Linked DNA regions of Notamacropus eugenii. Each later gene encodes a partner of the first gene's protein in a complex. Links are inferred from orthologs where the notes say so. Each region holds a gene or a part of one and is shown on either strand. Other genes may lie near its edges.

Evidence for each region.
Region 2: the proteins of IRAK2 (region 1) and IRAK4 are in contact, whole or in part, in a crystal structure (PDB 3MOP), measured with the Homo sapiens proteins. The link is inferred for Notamacropus eugenii from reciprocal best matches to the Homo sapiens genes IRAK2 and IRAK4. Residues at the interface, in NP_001561.3 of Homo sapiens: Tyr6, Ile36, Lys44, Met48, Glu59, Trp62, Trp63, Trp64, Gly65, Met66, Arg67, Gln68, Ala69, Gln73; in NP_001107654.1 of Homo sapiens: Asp24, Phe25, Pro28, Gln29, Lys34, Glu92, Phe93, Phe94, Ala95, Pro96, Ser98, Val105.

The regions. Positions count from the first base shown.
Region 1 is NC_092874.1:435,352,145-435,361,033, forward strand, and holds the start of IRAK2 (interleukin-1 receptor-associated kinase-like 2), read right to left. Parts: upstream 3,398-8,889; 5' UTR 3,294-3,397; coding exon 3,146-3,293; intron 1-3,145. UniProt on the Homo sapiens protein: Binds to the IL-1 type I receptor following IL-1 engagement, triggering intracellular signaling cascades leading to transcriptional up-regulation and mRNA stabilization.
Region 2 is NC_092874.1:212,024,529-212,032,967, forward strand, and holds the start of IRAK4 (interleukin-1 receptor-associated kinase 4), read right to left. Parts: upstream 3,541-8,439; 5' UTR 3,285-3,540; intron 1-3,284.

The DNA.
Region 1 (8,889 bases):
ATCTGTCCACAATAAGGACCAAGGATCTTAAGAGGAACACAGTGTGTCCTGGACTGCCTTCCCCATACCCAAAGTCCCTGGATTCCTTTTAACCTGCCTCCCTCCCTAAGTTATTGAGGAAGTGAGGCATTAAGGAAAGACTCCAGCCACAAGATACTGGAAATAAGGGGGTTAGGATTGACTCTATTAATCATGAGGGGACCTTGAACATCATACTCTGCCTGTTTGAGTCTCTAGTACAGTTCTCTGAAAAGCAGAGGGTTTACTCCAGGATTTCTGAGGGCCCTTTAGATTACAAGGCTGGGGTGGGAGAAGTCTCTAAGTCACCCAAAGGAAGTACTTTATTTCTTGAGAATGAGAGAAATCTCAAGGGAGGCTAGGAATAGGAGGGTGATGATGATGATGAGCTCTTTGAGGGAAGGATCAAGTTGCTTTTACCGTTCATTGTATCCCCAGCACTTAGCACAGTGACTGGAGATTCATAAGGACACGTAGGAAGCTCTCAATAAATGTCTTTGGGGGGTGACAAGGAGGTTTCCCTCAGCCCCAGCCTGTGGCTTAGGAAACTAACCTGTCAGTACAAGACAAAGTGTCACTGAATGTCTCTCTTTCTTGGCTATAAATGTAAAGTGCCTATTCACAGTCATCAGCAAGGGAAATTGATTTCCCCTCCATAAAGTCTACAAATCATAGACTGAGACCTGGAAGTCCCTGAGAATCCATCCCTTCTGCCTCCTTGCCTCCCCTGACACTGAGGCTGAGTGGGGCCCAGTCAGGGCCACTGTAGAAAGGGATCCACACTGACCGGGAGGTTAAAATAGGATGCTTATAAACTCATAGGATGATTTAGGACTGGAAGAAACCTTACAAGTCATCTAATCCAAATTCCTCATTGGACAATCAACAAGAATATATTAAATATCTTTTATGTAGCAGACACAGATGAGAAAAGATACCTCTACTCCACCTCTCATATACACTTGCGTGAGGTCATCAAACCTCTTCAGACCTCTGTTTCCTAGTCTGCAAAATGAAGGGGGTTGGGCCAGATGGTCTCTATGGTCATCTCTCACTTGGAATCTATGATCCAAGGAGGCCAAAGGTTTATTGACTATGTACAAAATTCCTGGTTAGTAAATTAAGAGTGGATTCCATCCTAACTCAGACTAAACTCAATGCCCTTTCAGCAATTCACCAAAAACAGCCTAGACCCCAAGAGATGCTTGCCTCTTTAACTGATAAACTCTTTTCACTTCCAATGACATAGACAAGCATCCAAACCTATGAGCAAGGAGAGAGTACAAAATGCCCGCTTTAAAGATCCGTCCTGGCCCTCCCCTTCAAGCCAGGGAGATTTCATAGCCTTTTACAGTAACCCAGTCTAGTATAAAACAACCCTTCTAAAGTAGGTGTTCCATCTCTTATCTAACTTCTTTGTTGTTGGTGTTCACTTCTTTTAACTGTGACTTCACTTGGGGTTTTCTTGGCAACGATACTAGAGTAGCCTGCCATTTTCTTCTCTGTCTCATTTTACTGATGAGGAAACTGAGGCAAACAGGGTTAAGTGACTTGCCCGGGATTACACAGCTCATACGTGCCTGAGACAAGATTTGAACTCAAGATAAGTCTTCCTGACTCCAGGCCCAGCACTATCTATCCACTGTGCCACCTAGTTGTCCTGATTATAAACTGATATCCTCAATACTCTGGATAATCTCATTTACATCTGTACTCCAAAACTCCATGTAATATATGGCAGAAAGGAAGGGTATTTCTTGGGTATTTTTTTGAAAGGAAGGTATCAAGGTCATAAAATGGTTTCTCTTCCTGTGAGGCTGTGATTCATTTCCCAGTATCCTTGGGAAGACAGCACAGAGAAGGGCACATTTACAATGCTTTCCCCATGGACAAGAGAAGCGGTATTTTGTATACCATCATTCCTTTTCCTTCTGATCACCATCACAATTACAAAGCACAGTCTGACCTACCGAGTAACCAATTTTCAGCACCTAGCACCAAGAAACATGACTAGTAACTAATCCCAGAAGACTATTACCACACAACACATCTTTTTCTAGATTCTAGAAAATCGCTAGACCTGTGATCTTACAAAACAGGGAATGTCCAGAGGAGGAAATTACCACTACCAAAAGGGGGTTGGTACCTTCCCTTCAACTTAGAGTTTGTGAGAAACTAACAGTAATAAATATCAGCTAAACTTGTAAGGCTTGTAAAGCCCTTACCTATAACATCTCACTGGAGCCTCACACGAGACCCATAAGGTTGATGATATTTTCATCCCCATTTTAGAGATAGGCAAACTGACAAAAAGTTACGTGACTTGTGCAAGTCATACAGCGAGGTAGGAAGCATCTAAAATAGGCTTCGAATTCAGATCTTCTTGGGTTCAGATCCAGTACTCCTCCACCATGGTGCAGAGGTGCCTAGGCTAAGTGGCAAGCCAGCATGTATGGCCAGTGAGACTTGTACCTAGATTCTCCTGACTCTAGGTCAGCTCTTCAATACAGCTCTTTGCCTCCATGGTTACATTCATCATTAGATAGCTTAATAAATCACAGAATCTTAGAGATGAAAGAGATACAAAAAACCATCTAATCTAACCTCATAGAGGAGCAAAAGATAAGGACCCGAACTCACTTACCATTCTGAAGTTTTGTCCATTACACTGTGTTATGTGGAACAAGCTAAAAATATAGCTCAAAAGCAAAAGGTAGAATGATACTTAAACAAGAACAAAAGAGCTTATATAGGGCAGTGGCCAGTGTTCTGAGTCACGAAGCCAGAACACCTGAGTTGAAATCACAGTTCTGCTATGGACTATCTGTACAACCTTGGGAAAAGTTCCCTATCTTGGCCTCAGACTCCTCCTTTTCCCCCTCTATGAAGGCTTCCATTTTCTTCTCTGTAAAATGAAAGGGTCAGACCAGACTATCAATAAGATCTCTTCCAAACTCTAAATCCTGTTCTCCCTGAGGGAGATAGGTTATGTGCTCTTGGATGACCCCATCATCTAAGTCCCCTAGAAGTCCACAGTACCCTGTCAGGCAGTCATTGCGGGGGGCTCCCAACTTCCTAAGCATTCAGTCTTCCCAGGGACCCCCAGCCCCCTTGACACTGCTCTCACCAAACTGCATCCAGTCCCATTCATTCAGGCTGTCCATCTTGTGGCATAAGTCCTCCAGCACCCAAGAAGGAAGCTGATAGATATACTGGGAAGTCCTGGGGCTCTGGAGAGCAGGTAGGGGTGGCAGCAGAGGTGGCTGCAAGGCCATTTTCCCTGCTTCCAACAGTTTACAATCTGCTGTGATTAAGTCTCTTTCCTCTCCACAGCCAACAGCTTGCTGGGACCTCAGATCTGTTCTCTCCTCCCAGGAGAAGCAACCAAGCCACTCCTGAGCTAATGTTCCTCCTTGTAGGGGAGAAACCCAAAAAGGGTGTCCCCTTTGTTAACAGCAAGGCATTGAACTGTGTTCTGGTCCAGATTCCCACTAGTCAACAGGATGTCTGCTAGGCTAATTTTCAGCCCAGTATGAGTCAGAAAGTGGCCGGCACCAAGGGGAGGAGCCCCAAGGGGAAGGACCCTTTGGTAACTAGCGGCAATTTTCCAGGAAGTTGGGCTAAACTAAGCTGGGCAGGGGTGGGGTGAGCTGGACTGAGCAACACTGCCACCAAGCGTATCTAAGAGCCATAACACAATAATTCTAGCCAAGGGCCTTGGGAATCAAAAATTGAACCCAAAAGACAGAAGGAATCAGAAATGAGGGCTGAGCCCTGGGATCTATTTCTACTTACTAATTCAACTACTTACTAGCTGGGAAACTGCACAAGTCATATGACTTCTTGAGTTTTCAATTTCCTTTGCTCTCAAGCCAGGCTATTAGCCTACTATCTCCTCTGTTTTGAGGAAATGACTAAGATAATATAAGCAGAAGTATTTTGAAAAATATAAATTGCTATACAATCCATGCCTCTAATTTACAGATGATAAAATTGAAGACCCAAGAAACTGATTTTTCCTGGTGGAAAAACTAATTAATGGAATACCTGAGGCTGAGAGTTCAATTGAACAGGGGCTCAGAATCTGGCAAAGTGATTCAGTTTTACCCTAAAATGGGATTTATAGAGTTGAAAGAGACCTTAACTAGGTCCCATTTAACTAGGACCCTTCATTTAACAATGATGAACCTGAGGCCAAAGGAAGTTACTTACAAGTAAATAGAAGATCCATGAATCAAACAGGTCACCTGACTCCAAATCCAGTGCTTGTCTACACCATGCAGCACAACCTCTGTGACTAAAATGATGTTGTCCTCAACTGTCAAGCTACATGGGTCCATAGATAAGCTCTGTGTTGTGGGAAGGTAGCTACAGCTTTACATTGGATGGGCAAGGGAGAAATAGAAAAACAGGGATTATAATAGTTGGTTCCTATTAAGCTGAAAGCAAAGATGAGGGAAAGAATTGTGGGTAAGAAAGGAGGGGACTTTGGGGTTAATCAAGAGCAGGAGTTAAGGAGAGTACACAATGCCAGAGGAACTACCTAGAAACTTGTTTCCTCTATGGTAAAGGGACGGAGCTATCCTCCATGACCTAGGGATAAAGCAAGATGGCACCAGATTTAGGACTGAACCAAGATGGATTCTGCAAGTAAACTATGTACCTGGGACTTGTTATGCTTTATAGTATCTGCATCCTGAGATTTCTCCCGAATGCAGTAAAGATCTTGAGTTACATTTCCAAGGAGCAATGGGTGAATGATTAGAACATAGTCTAAATACCTAGGTCATGGGAATAAACAAAACCAGCAACTATGGAAGGTTGCTTTGAGGGGGGCCCCCTTTGAGTTTTGCTACCGAAACTGTTCAATTTAACTACTACATCTCTTGGAGGGGGAAGCCCAGAGTTTTTTCTAGAGATAATACCCAGGGTTAATGAATATTTTTAACAGTCCCTGCCTTCAAGGAGATTACAAGCTGATGTGGGAAGACAAAACACAAAAGGAAGCTGGAAAATAGGGTGAAGGGAGGGAAGAGAGGTCACCTGGCATGAGGAATAATGGAGCAGTTAAAAACAAATTCCTAAATGAGTATAGCCAGAGAAGCCAAAATGAGTGCAGCTAGGTGGAAAATAAATCTAACCTACTCCACCTCCTTAAATGCTGCATGAGGAGTTCATAGCTCCTTTGGCCAATAAGAGGAAGCTGCAGGTACTAATGAGTTTTAAGGGCCAAGTTTTATTAAATTTTGCAAAATAATGCAGAAATCATCCAAAAATGAGTACAGCTGGGTGGGAAATGAGGTGATGTCTGAGGAGATGTCTGTTCTGTTCCCCTCTCCTTAAGTGGAGGTTGAGGAGTTTATGGTGATCTACAGTTTCTTTTGATTGGCTAAAAAAAAAAAAAGAAAAGAAAAAATTTGGATATGACTAATGTAGGAATTTGCTTTGCTTGACTGTATATTTGTTACAAAGGTTTTCTTTTTTTTTTTTCAGTTGGGGATGAAGGAAGACTGAAGATAGGGAGATAGGGACAGACTTACAAAAGAAAAAAGTCAATTAAATATTTTTTTAAATACACAGAAGAGAACACAAGGAAACAAAGCTAAGCATGACAACTTTAAAAGTTAAATTTCAAAAAAAAAAATTAAATGTCAAATTTTTACAGTTATCTCAACAAAAAGGATTGAGGACAGAATGGAGATGTATCATTGAGGGTACAATCTCTTCCTCTGCTCCAATAGATATGCTCATTTTATTTGTGTTTGTTAAAATCAGAACAAAAAAAAAATCTAAAAAAAAGTAACTTTTAAAAATTAATTTCCCAGTATGGGCAAGAATATCCTGAATTAAAGAGTGCCTGAATAACTACCAAGCGATGACCCTACTGCCAGGTCACTGTTTGTGGTTGTCCTTCATTCTTGAAGAGGACCAAAATGACATCACCATGATAAAGTGAAGTTTCAGTGTGTCCGACTGCAGCTGATCAGACCAATATGAGCTGGGAATGCTCTACCACAGGTTGGGCACAGATAGTCCGTGTAAATATTTGGGGTGGATACTCCAAATTTGCACATCCTACGTTTACTTTGTGCTGTCTCCATTCTGCTTTGCTCACAGAGCACAGCACCCTTTCTGATGTGAGCACACCATGCTGAGTGGTTCTGTGCCAGTGTCTCCCATGTCGCAGTCAAATAAGTTCTTGAGAGATACCTTGAGCGTGTCCTTGTATCGCTTCTCCTGATTACCATGTGATCACCTGCCCCATGTTAGTTCTCCATAAAATGGTCTTTTTGGCAAGTGTACATTTTGCATTCGAATAACATGGCCAGCCCATCACAGCTGCACTCTCTGAAGCATAGTTTGAACGTTTGGCACTTCAAGCTTCAGAGGCTGCATCGAGCGCACAATCATCTGCAAACAGAAATTCATGCACCAACACTCCACACTCCCTCCACTTTGGTCTTGGCTTGTAGCCTTTTCAAATTGAAGATTTGTATTGAGATCAATGCAAAGTATCTATTCCACCACAGCTGCACAAAGGGATTTTGTCTTCCAAAAAGTATAGTAAGTGTAATGGACTATTTGAAGTATTCTTATCTTTTCTGTATTTGTCAGTGCATATCTATGAGTTTTTTGCATGATGCAGGAAATAAAACAGTTGTCCTATTCCCAAGGTTCGTACTGAACAGTGTGTACCTTTTCTAGAGTAACCTCTAGGTGGCACAGCAGAGAAAATGGTGACACTAAGGAGTCAGGAAGACCTAATTTTGAATCTGGCCTTAGGCACTTAGTCACCCAGTGACCATGGGTAAATCACTTCACCTCAGTTTCCTCCTCTGTAAAAACAAGAATAATAACAACGCTTACCTTCCTAGGTTTGCTGTGAGGATCAAATAATATGTAAAGCACTATATGCTTTATAATATGCAAACCTTACAAGGCTATCCAAATACTATTTCTTTGAGGAGATTCTACATATGACCTGGGGGCAGGAGGTGATGAAACAGATAGAGTGCCAGTTCTAGAGTCAGGCTGATGAGTCCAAATCTGGCCCAAAGCACTTACTAGCTGAGTGACCCTGGGCAAATCACATAACTGAAAGAAATGGCAAACCATTCTTTGCTAAGAAAACTCCAAATGAAGTCAGGAAGAGCTGGACAAGACTGAAATGACTGAACAAGATATGACCCAGAACTAAATTTTGTTTTAGAGATTTCTCTGGAGTTATTCTGGGGTTGAGGAGTGGAGTCAAAAATATTGGCATTAGGACCCCAGAACTGAACACACATGTAAGCCCAGAGTCACTGGTAGGAGACTCCTGGATTATAGGGTATGTTCATGATCTCTTCAAATTACGGTCGTCAGGGTGTTGTACTGAGCCTGGCTTTAAGTCAAAAACATTTGAGTCCTAATCCTTCCTCAGATTGCAATTTCTACTTTCACATCTTTCACATCCAATCTTTTCTCCCCAATTACATGCAATTAAATAGCATTTGTTCTCTTTCTAGAGAATTACTTCTAGACCCAACCTTGAGAAGACCCTTATAATAAATACACAGTCAAAGAAAGCAATTTCCTACACACTGACCACATCTTAATCTGCATCTTGAGTCCTCTGTCAGGAGGTAGGCAGCATGCTCCATCTTTGGTCTTTTGGAATCATGGATTGCCACTGCACTGATAAGAGCTGATATGAGAATTTTTTCTCAAAAAAAGTACTGCAAAGATTATTTTTCCCCAATTAACTGTTTCCCTTCTAGTTTTAACTGCACTGGATTTGCTTATGAAAAAAATGTTTTATTCCATATAATGAAAATTGTCCGTCTGATCTTCGGTTATTGGGCTCCTCCCAATTCCTTGTTTGATCCCTACGTATAGTTGTAAAAACTCATTTATTCTGTATTGACAAGCTCAGGTTCATTCTCCCAGAGGCAGGCCAGGTGCAGCTCACCCTTGGGATTCTAGGGGATATCCTGAGGTCTTTTAGTTATTTTTTTTCTCTAATGTCACTTGGTCAAGTCCTCATTGGTTATGTTCCCCACACCCCTTAGCCAATAGCAAGTAGTGTACCAGTTCCCTTTAACACTTAACATCAATTAATTTTTATAAAAGGATATTTACTTCAAAGATATAGCAAGAATAGAAGTATAAACATTTTCCCACCACACTAGAGAAACAATCTCCCAGATCCCAATCTCAGTTCACTGAGGGCAGTGGGCATGACACTCTTAGCATAACTTTTTAATATACTATTGGTCCCACCAAGTTCATATTTAGAAGAGACATGAGTTATAGGAGTCCTCATCTTGACCACCATGGGCTGGATTCTGAAGGTCACTTATTGCTCCATGGGGCATCGATGCTGTACTGATCTTTTACTCATGAGATTGGAGACTTCAACCCTCACCTAAAAAGGAAAAAAGAACCAGTGATGACAAGGACGGAAGCCTGTGTTCATGGGGTCATGTCTGCCTAACCAGATGGTTAGTAGACTGGCAAGTTAGGAGTCTACATATGCTCAGGGCTCTCTAAGCCACTCACATCAGGCACCACTATGACTCCCAGAAGGAAGTCCCCTGGCCTTATCCACATGTCATCCCAGGCACTTGCCTGCTCATTTCATTTTGCATTCCTCTAGCTTATGATCTTTTATATCTTAAGACACAAGTCCAGTGGGAGCCTATCTTGGTATATGGTGGGAGATGTGGCTCCTTATCTAATCTCTACCATCCTGCTTTCCAATTTTCCCAGGATTTTTGTTGGAATGACATGAGTCCTTACACTGGTAGCTGGGGACTTTGGACTTATCAAAAATTATACTACGTTAATTTGCTTCTGTACAGTGTGTATTTAATCTGTTCGCACTGATCA
Region 2 (8,439 bases), about 220 Mb from region 1:
TCTGAAAAGTAAAGGAGCTGGGACTACAACCAAGGATCAATTATCCAGCAAAACTGAGTACAATATTTCAGGTAAGGAGATGGACAGTCAATAAAATAAGGGATTTCCAGACCTTCCTGATGAAAAGGCCAGAGTTCAATAGAAAATTTGATCTCCAAACACAAGTCTAAAGAGAGGCATAAAAAGGTAAACAAGGGGAAAAAAACCCCCAAAACTTGTTATTCAATAGGAGTAAACTGTTTACATCCCTATAAGGGAAGATGATATTTGTTCATCTTGAGAACTGTATATTTATTATGATAGTTAAAATGGATATACATAGATAGAGGGAGCGGTATAAAGTAAATGATGTCATGATTTAAGCATGCAAAGGGATTGCAACAGGAGATGTGAAAAGGAGGAGTCAGAAAAAGGTAAATTACATCACAGGAAGAGGCACAAAAATACATTACAGTAGAGGGAAAGAAGGGAGGGAGATAAGCATTGTTTGAGAGTTGCTCTCATGTGATTGGGTTCAAGGAGGGAACAACAAACTCAGGTAAGTACAGATATACAACTAGCTCTAAAGGCAGTAGGAGGGGAAGGAGAAAAGAAAAGGGAGAGGAGGCTAAAAGGGAGGGAAGAAGTTGTGAGAGAAAGGGGGCTAAAATGGAGGGGGGTTGAAAGCAGGGAAGGAAGACTGAGGGAGGCTGTGGTCAAAAATTAAAACTATTGTGGAAGGGAAGGAAGAACTAAAAGCATAAACAGGGGAAAAGTGAATGGAGGGAAAGACAGAGATAGTAATCATAACTGTGAATGTGAATGGGATGAACTCTCCCATAAAACAGAGAAGGATAGCAGAATGGATTAAAAACTATAATCCAACAATATGTTGTTTACAAGAAACACATTTGAAAGAGGGGCATACGCACAGGAAAAAAGTAAAAGGTTGGAACAGAATATATTGTGCTTCAGCTGATATAAAAAAAAAAAGCAGGGGTAGCAATCCTAATCTCAGACAAAGCAAAAGCAGAAATAGACCTAATCAAAAGAGACAAGGAAGGAAACTATATCCTGCCAAAAGGCACCATAGACAACAAAGCAATTTCATTACCAAACATATATACTACAAGTGGTATAGCATTCCCAATGGTCTTTTAAGGCAAAAAGCCTTCCACATCTTGAGAAAGAACTATGGAACTCAATCACAGATTGTAGCAGATCATTTACTTTTGTATTACGTTTTGGTTCATTATATGATTTCTCCCATTCATTTTAATTCTTTTATGCAACATGACTAAGGTGAAAATGTATTTAATGGGAATGTAAGTGTAGAACCTATGTAAGATAGCATGCTGTTCTGGGGAGGGAGTTGGGAGGGACAGGGAAAGGAAGGGGAGCGAAGGGTAAAAATCTAAGATATATGGAAGTGATTATAGAAAAATGAAAACAAATAAAATAATAAAAATTTTAAAATTAAAAAAAAAACAAAAGAAAACTGTAAAAAAAAAGTGGTCTTTTCTTGCAACAACAATTCACAGAATTGGAAGAAAAACAGGAAAAGTGGAAAACAGTATGGCACAAACCAGGTACAGACTAACATCTCACACCATACAGTAAGATAAGGTCAAAATGGGTATATGATTTACACATAAAGAGTGATACCATAAGCAAATTAGGAAAGCATGGAATAGTTTACCTATCAGATCTATGGATAAGGAAAGAATTTAGGACCAAAGGAGACAAATTGAGTATTACAAAATGTAAAATGGATAATTTTGTTTACATAAAATTAAAAAGTTTTTGCACTAACAAAAGCAATGCAACAAAAATTCGAAAGCAGAAAACTGAAAAAAAAGAAATTTTACAGTATCTCTGATAAAGATCTTATTTCTCAAATATATAGAAAACTGAGTGAAATTTATGAAAAGATGAATCAATCTCCAATTGATAAATGGTCAAGGGGTATGAAAGGCAGTTTACATACAAAAAAATCAAAGCTATCTACATAATCATATAAAAAACACTCTAAATCACTATTTGATTAAAGAAATGTAAATTAAAACAGATCTGAGATAACCACCTCATACCTATCAGATTGGCTAATATGACAAAAAGAAAGATGATAAGTGCTGGAGGGAATGTAGGAAAACTGGGACAATAATGCACTGCTCCTGCAGTTGTGAACTGATTCAAACATTCTGGAGAGCAATTTGGAACTATGCCCAAAGGGCTATAAAACTGTGCAACCCTTTGATCCAACAATGTTTCTGCTAGGTCGATTTTAAAAGTGGGGAGAGAAAGGAACTTATTTGTACAAAAATATAGCAGCTCTTTTTGTGGTGGCTACGAATTGCAAATTGAGGGGATGCCCATCAACTGGGGAATGGCAGAACAAGTGGTGGAATATGATTGTGAGAGAATACTATCCTGCTTTAAATAAAAAGAAATCTTTAGCAGGATAATTTCAAAAAAGCCTAGAAAGATTTACATGAACTGATACAGAGTGAAGCGAGCAGAACCAGGAAGAATATTGTACACAGTAACAATATTTTACAATGAAGAACTATGAATTATTTACCTATCCTCAACAAAACAATAAGACTGGTGAGGAACCTGTGGCCTCAAGGCCACATGTGTCCTTGGGTGCAGCCTTTTGACTGAGTCCCAGTTTTACAGAACAAATCATTAAGGATTTGACTATATATATATAGATAGATAGATACACACACATACATACATATATACATACATATGTGTGTTACATTATTGTATCCCATACAATTATAATATATAACTATATTTATGTAAAATGTAGTTACATTAAGGGTATTTGTTATGTGAAGTTTGGATTCTATTAAAGGGCAGCACCTGAGCACCTAGAGGGCCATATGTGGCCTCGAGGCAGCAGGTTCTCCACCCCTAGTCTAGATGACAGCCTAGGTCACCTGTTACTTAAAGCGTCAGCCCAATAAGTGACCCGGAAGTGAAAAGGCTCCTGCCTAACTTGCCATTTGCTTCGCGGGCCCAAATCCCCACTATCAGGAACGCAAGTTCCCATAAAAGAGCACAGGGCTCACTCATTTGGCCAGGAATGAGTTCTTCAGGCTCGGATTAAGTAAGGGTAGGTTCCAGGAGCAGGAAATGGGCTTGGAAAACCGTCCAAGTCCGCCTGAAAGCCCTCCTAAAAGCTAATGGGAAAACCTGGGGAGGGCACGGGGGCGGTGCCTCATTCTGCCAGGCGGACAAGTCACCATTCTGAGCGGAGAACATGAGCCCGCGGCAGCAGCAGGGCTCAGCGTTACCTGAGTTCTGTCTGTGCAGGCGCCAGCACGGGCCAGGAGAGCCAGACACCGGGAGACACGAGCCGCATCCTGGCCTGGGAAGCCCTCTCTTCCCTTCCGCATTGGCTCCAGGAAAGCTGAAACTTTACCTCTGGGGCAAGCTGGCCCCGCCCTCGAGGGGGAGGAGCCTTTAAACTCACGGCAATTGGCGAAGATTTCCTGGACTTGTAAGCCTCCTTCCTCTGCGGCCACCTAGGCATGCGCGCTGAGGAGACCCCAGAACCGGAAAGTCAGGGCGTCCCTTTGGTTCTGTCCAGGGGCTGAACTGTTTGCTGTCCAGGCTGCCTCCTTCTTCGTCTGGCGTGGGTGTAGCGAGAAGAGCGGGGCCCAGGAGGACGGTTTAAGGGCCTCTTTGATCCGAATTTCAGGGCTCAGAGAAGAACCTTAAGCCCAAAAATAAGGAAGAAAAACACTAACAGGCTTGAGCGGGTTGGAGAGAAAGGTTTAGAAACAAGGGGGAGTTGGAAGTTAGACCCTGAATATGAGGTGAAAGGGTCGTGCCCGAGAGACATTTTAATATTCGCTATTAAATATGTAAATATATTTATATACATCATATATATTACATATTACATATATTTGTATATAAGTAAAATTAAATAATGTAATATATTAAATGAATAAAAATAGCTAAATATCTGCTTTACAGATTTATCCTTGTTTGGTAGACCTAACTAGCAGTAGTTCCTGCTAGAGTCTAGGTTACATTGTATCTACGATAAACTAACACATTTATATAGACCAGTTAGGTTAACAAACGTCTCTCCCAAAAACAACTCGGCAACATCTTTAGGGCAAATGTTATCCCTCCTTTGACGCACTAGGAAACTGAGGCTCAGAAGTGTTCAAGTAAATTGTCAGTGGTTATATGACTCGTAACTGTGGAAGCCAGGACTCAGACTCTGATCTTCTGGTCCAAGCCCAGAGTTGTGTTTTTTTTTTAACGCTATGGTTGCTCACTTGACCCTGCCATGTCAATCTCCAGCTCTCACCAACTATTCTACGTTCCTTTTCTTCTTTTGCTAACCCTGTGTGTCTTCAGTGCTTAGTGAAGATCTTTTTGTCTCCTGTTTAATATTGTACTAATATATTTTTTCATGGTTCTTGAGCTCCATGATAACCTCTTTGGACTCCTTTATTATTATTATTTTTACCATGAATAGTCATTTATTCTCTCTACCACTCATCTGTCAAACAATAAAATTTATAAAATCAAACGAACAAATTGTCAAATTGCCCATGTACAAAAATGTATGTCTCATTCTACATTTTAAATCTATCACCCCTCTAACAAGAGGTGGTTAGCATAAAAAAAAACACCAGCTTTGGTCTTCTGGAATTGTGATTTGCTTTGAACTCCTTTAGCACTCTATTTGTATCATTCTTAGTGTATTTACATTTAAGAGTTATATCTTCACTACTAGACTTTAAGTTTCTCGAGGACAGAGACCATGTCTTGTGCAACATTGTGTTTTTTATAGTACCTTGCACAGATGTTAAATATTTGGTGAATGAATGCTCATAGTTGCCTACATTTGTTCATTCATAGGCAGTTTGTGGAAAGAACTGCACTCTTTGGTATCTAATGTTTAACTGCCACTACTACAGAAATGATTCAAATTATAGATGTAAACATCTAGCACGATTATTCATTCGTTATAATTTCCCCCTTTTAGCAGTTACTTTGCTAATAAAATGCAAAGAGGAACAGAAAATTTTGCAAGAAAATTGCCACAGCTGTTGTCATGTGAATGTAAGGACTCCAGGAACTTTCATCTGAATAATAATTTCCCCAATAATATAACCTTTGAAGACTTGATAAGAACATTTAAAGTAGGGCTGGAGGACTTTTCTTTTATATTCAGAAAACAAAATACCTTCTTCAGTTTCTCAAGGGCTCTCTGCTACTCCTACAAAACAATTCAGTCAGCCAGGGAAATTATTCCCAAAAAATTTCCTTTTGAAATTAAAGGAGGATATTTATTTGACAGAGGAAAATATACAGGTAAATATGTATTAGGAACTTGGTTCATTATTTTTGGGGATACAATGTCCTGACAAATATCAGAACAATTGTACATGTAGAACTTAAGGATTTTTTATTTTTAATCTCTTTGATTGGCTTCATTAACTAATTAGGTTAGCATAAAAGTAAACATTTGGTTATAATGGAAATGTAGCCTATTTTTTTTTCTGTTGCAGCAAGTCCTCTTGCATCCTTCCAGAGCAGGGTCAGGTACATTTTGTTAAAAGGAAAATTCTTTATTTTGACTTTTGCTTTGATTAATGAAACAAAACAGGAAAAAGAGAATTAAAAGAAGTTTATTAAAAAATACATCAAGGTAGCAACATGTTGATAGGCTGATCACTAGAGATGAGCAAGGGATTCAAGATGGAGTCAGCTTTTATTGATAACTTTTGTAATGAGAGAAAAACAATTCAGTTAGGCCCACATCAGCAAAAATGGATGGGCTACTGCATCTCAGCTCCTTCCCAAGTGGTTGTATGTTAGGGCTAATGGAATGATCTGGTACTTGAGGGACAGGTAATACAAAACCTGCAGACTGGGTTATGTGTGTCTACAGAGCCTCCCTTAATACTGATTGACAAGCAGGACTGGGAACAATGGGGTCACTGTTCTCCCTTCTCTTGTTTCCTATGCTTCTAGGGTTACCTCTAAGGAGCTGGGATGTCTCTTCTCAAATGCTCAAAGCCCTATTCCAGGGCATTCCCCCCACAGCTACTAATAACTAGCTTTCCAGTTTTATTTAAACAGTTAATATTGATTACCTCTTACAGAGATAATTCAAAAATTTATCAAGAACAAAAGAAAAGTATTGCCTCTACAAGGTGGAGGGTGGGGATACACTAGCCATATTACACTTTGGTCCTTGGGGAAAGTAGACTTGGATTTATAGATATTCTGTAAAGCACTGCTGCCATCAAGTTCACATCCCAATGTGGCATTCCTGCCGAATGAATCTTTCTCTCAGTTATTATTTTGCTGGACCCAGAAGGTCAGTTCTCACCCTCTCCTTAGATGCCTGGACTTCCTGGCTGTAAATTCTAATACATCTTCTCCTCCAGGAGAGATCAGATCTTCCAGGGATTTGCTGATGGTGACTTGCTGTCCTGATCTCCCAAAGTTTAGAAGGTCATAATTCCAATCCCTATCAAAATGAATGAACAAACCAGGCCCTTACAACATTCTCTCTCTCTCTCTCTCTCTCTCTCTCTCTCCCTCCCTCTCTTTCTCTCTCTCTCCCTCCCTCTCTCTCTCCCTCTCTCTCTCTCTCTCTTTCTCTCTCTCTCTCTCTTCCTGTCTCTCTCTCCAAAATGCTGTCAGCCAGAAGTGTCAACAATTTTTTTATCCTTTTTTAAAAACATGATTTATTTTTAGTTTTCAACAGACACTCCATAAGATTTTGAGTTCCAAACTTTCTCATTCAGACAAATAACCTTACATCTTTATTTGAATTCTATATAATGTAACTTCACAACGACTCATGGAGGGAGCCACATATTTCTGACTCTTTCTCTACATAAAGACCTACAAATATTTCAGATTTGGGGGTTTATTCTTGCAAACAGCAGGTGTTATGGTGAGAAAGAAACTGATAAGGTAGTAGTAAAACCAAGCTAATCTATCTAAAGTTGATAATAATTTAAACTAAAGGCTAGTAAATTAAAATTACAAGATCATGGACTTAAGAGTTGAAAGGTACCTTAGGTGGAATGGAGTCCCAACCCACTCGTCTTACTAATGCAGAAACTGAATCCCAGTGAAGTAAAGTGATTTGCTCATGGTCATATATAAGTGTATGAGTTGGTATTTGAAAACTATTTTCCTGACTCCATGTTCAGTGTCTTATCCACTATACCACACTGCAAAAGGAAAATCCACATTCTAAACAAAAAAGAATTTTGAAAATTAATGTGAACATTTAAAATGAAACAAATCCATAATGGGAATTATATGCATGTGTGTGAGTGAGTGTAGGGGGAGAAGGAAGGTGGGGCTGGGTGTATGGGATATAAATGCTTGTTTCCTTCCCTTGTCCTCCCCCTTCTCACAGATAAGTCACTTAACCCTTTAGTGCCAACTAAGTTGCTGATCTGCAGTGATAGAAAAATGGGAGTCCCCAACAGCAATAAAAAAATAACAACAGCCCCTTCAAAACCCAGTTCATTTGATATTTTAGACTGAGGGATGAGGGAGAGAAAGGAAGGGGCAACTGGAAAGTATCATAGAGTGATGTACAGTGGGAACTCTTAATACATTAAAATTGCTAAAATAGTTACGAAGGTTTGTCAGGAACCCTGAAATGCTGGATATTTGGGTTGTGGAAATATAACTCTTTGAGTTAGCACCCAGCTATTGTAATAAAACTGCTCACACAATTCTAAGAAATAGACAAGGCAGCATACCACATAGTGATTAGCTTGACACAAAGCTAGAGGAACAAATAGCAAATGGTGTGTAACCATATTCTGGCACCAAGAGTAGTATAATTGGGAAATTGCACAGAGTATTTACCTGTTTCCAGTTGAGTGGGGGGGGGGGGGGGGCAGGGTGCACATGTGTATGAACTTAGCAATCAGATGCTGTGGAACTCACAACTTCCCAACTTCTTTGGTACCGTGGGGATGTCAAGTAATATCTACATCAAGCCAATGAAAAGGAAGAGCCAATAACTGACGAGACCTTTAAAAAGGAAGTGACAATCTCTCCTCCCACCCACACTTCCTTCCCTCCAAGTGACTCTGAGAGTCCCCATAAGGGAAGCTGTGGGATGGAATGAAAAATGGCAGCAAGTGAACCACTTCCAGAGAACAGGTAGAACAGAGACACTGAACTTTAGTGAACTTAAACCTGGGCCTCTTGTTTTGTGTTTCTTTACCTGACCCTAAGTGACCAAACATCTATCTTGAGATGGAAGTGTCCAGTCAACCTTATTAGTTCAAGAGATTCAGAGGCATTGCTGACTACACTTTTCTTTTTTTTAAAAAAAAAAAATTATTTATTTTTAGTTTTCAACATTCATTTTTATAAGATTTTGACTTCTAAATTTCCCCCCCTTATTTGTGTCCCTTCCCTTCTCCCCAAGACAGCATG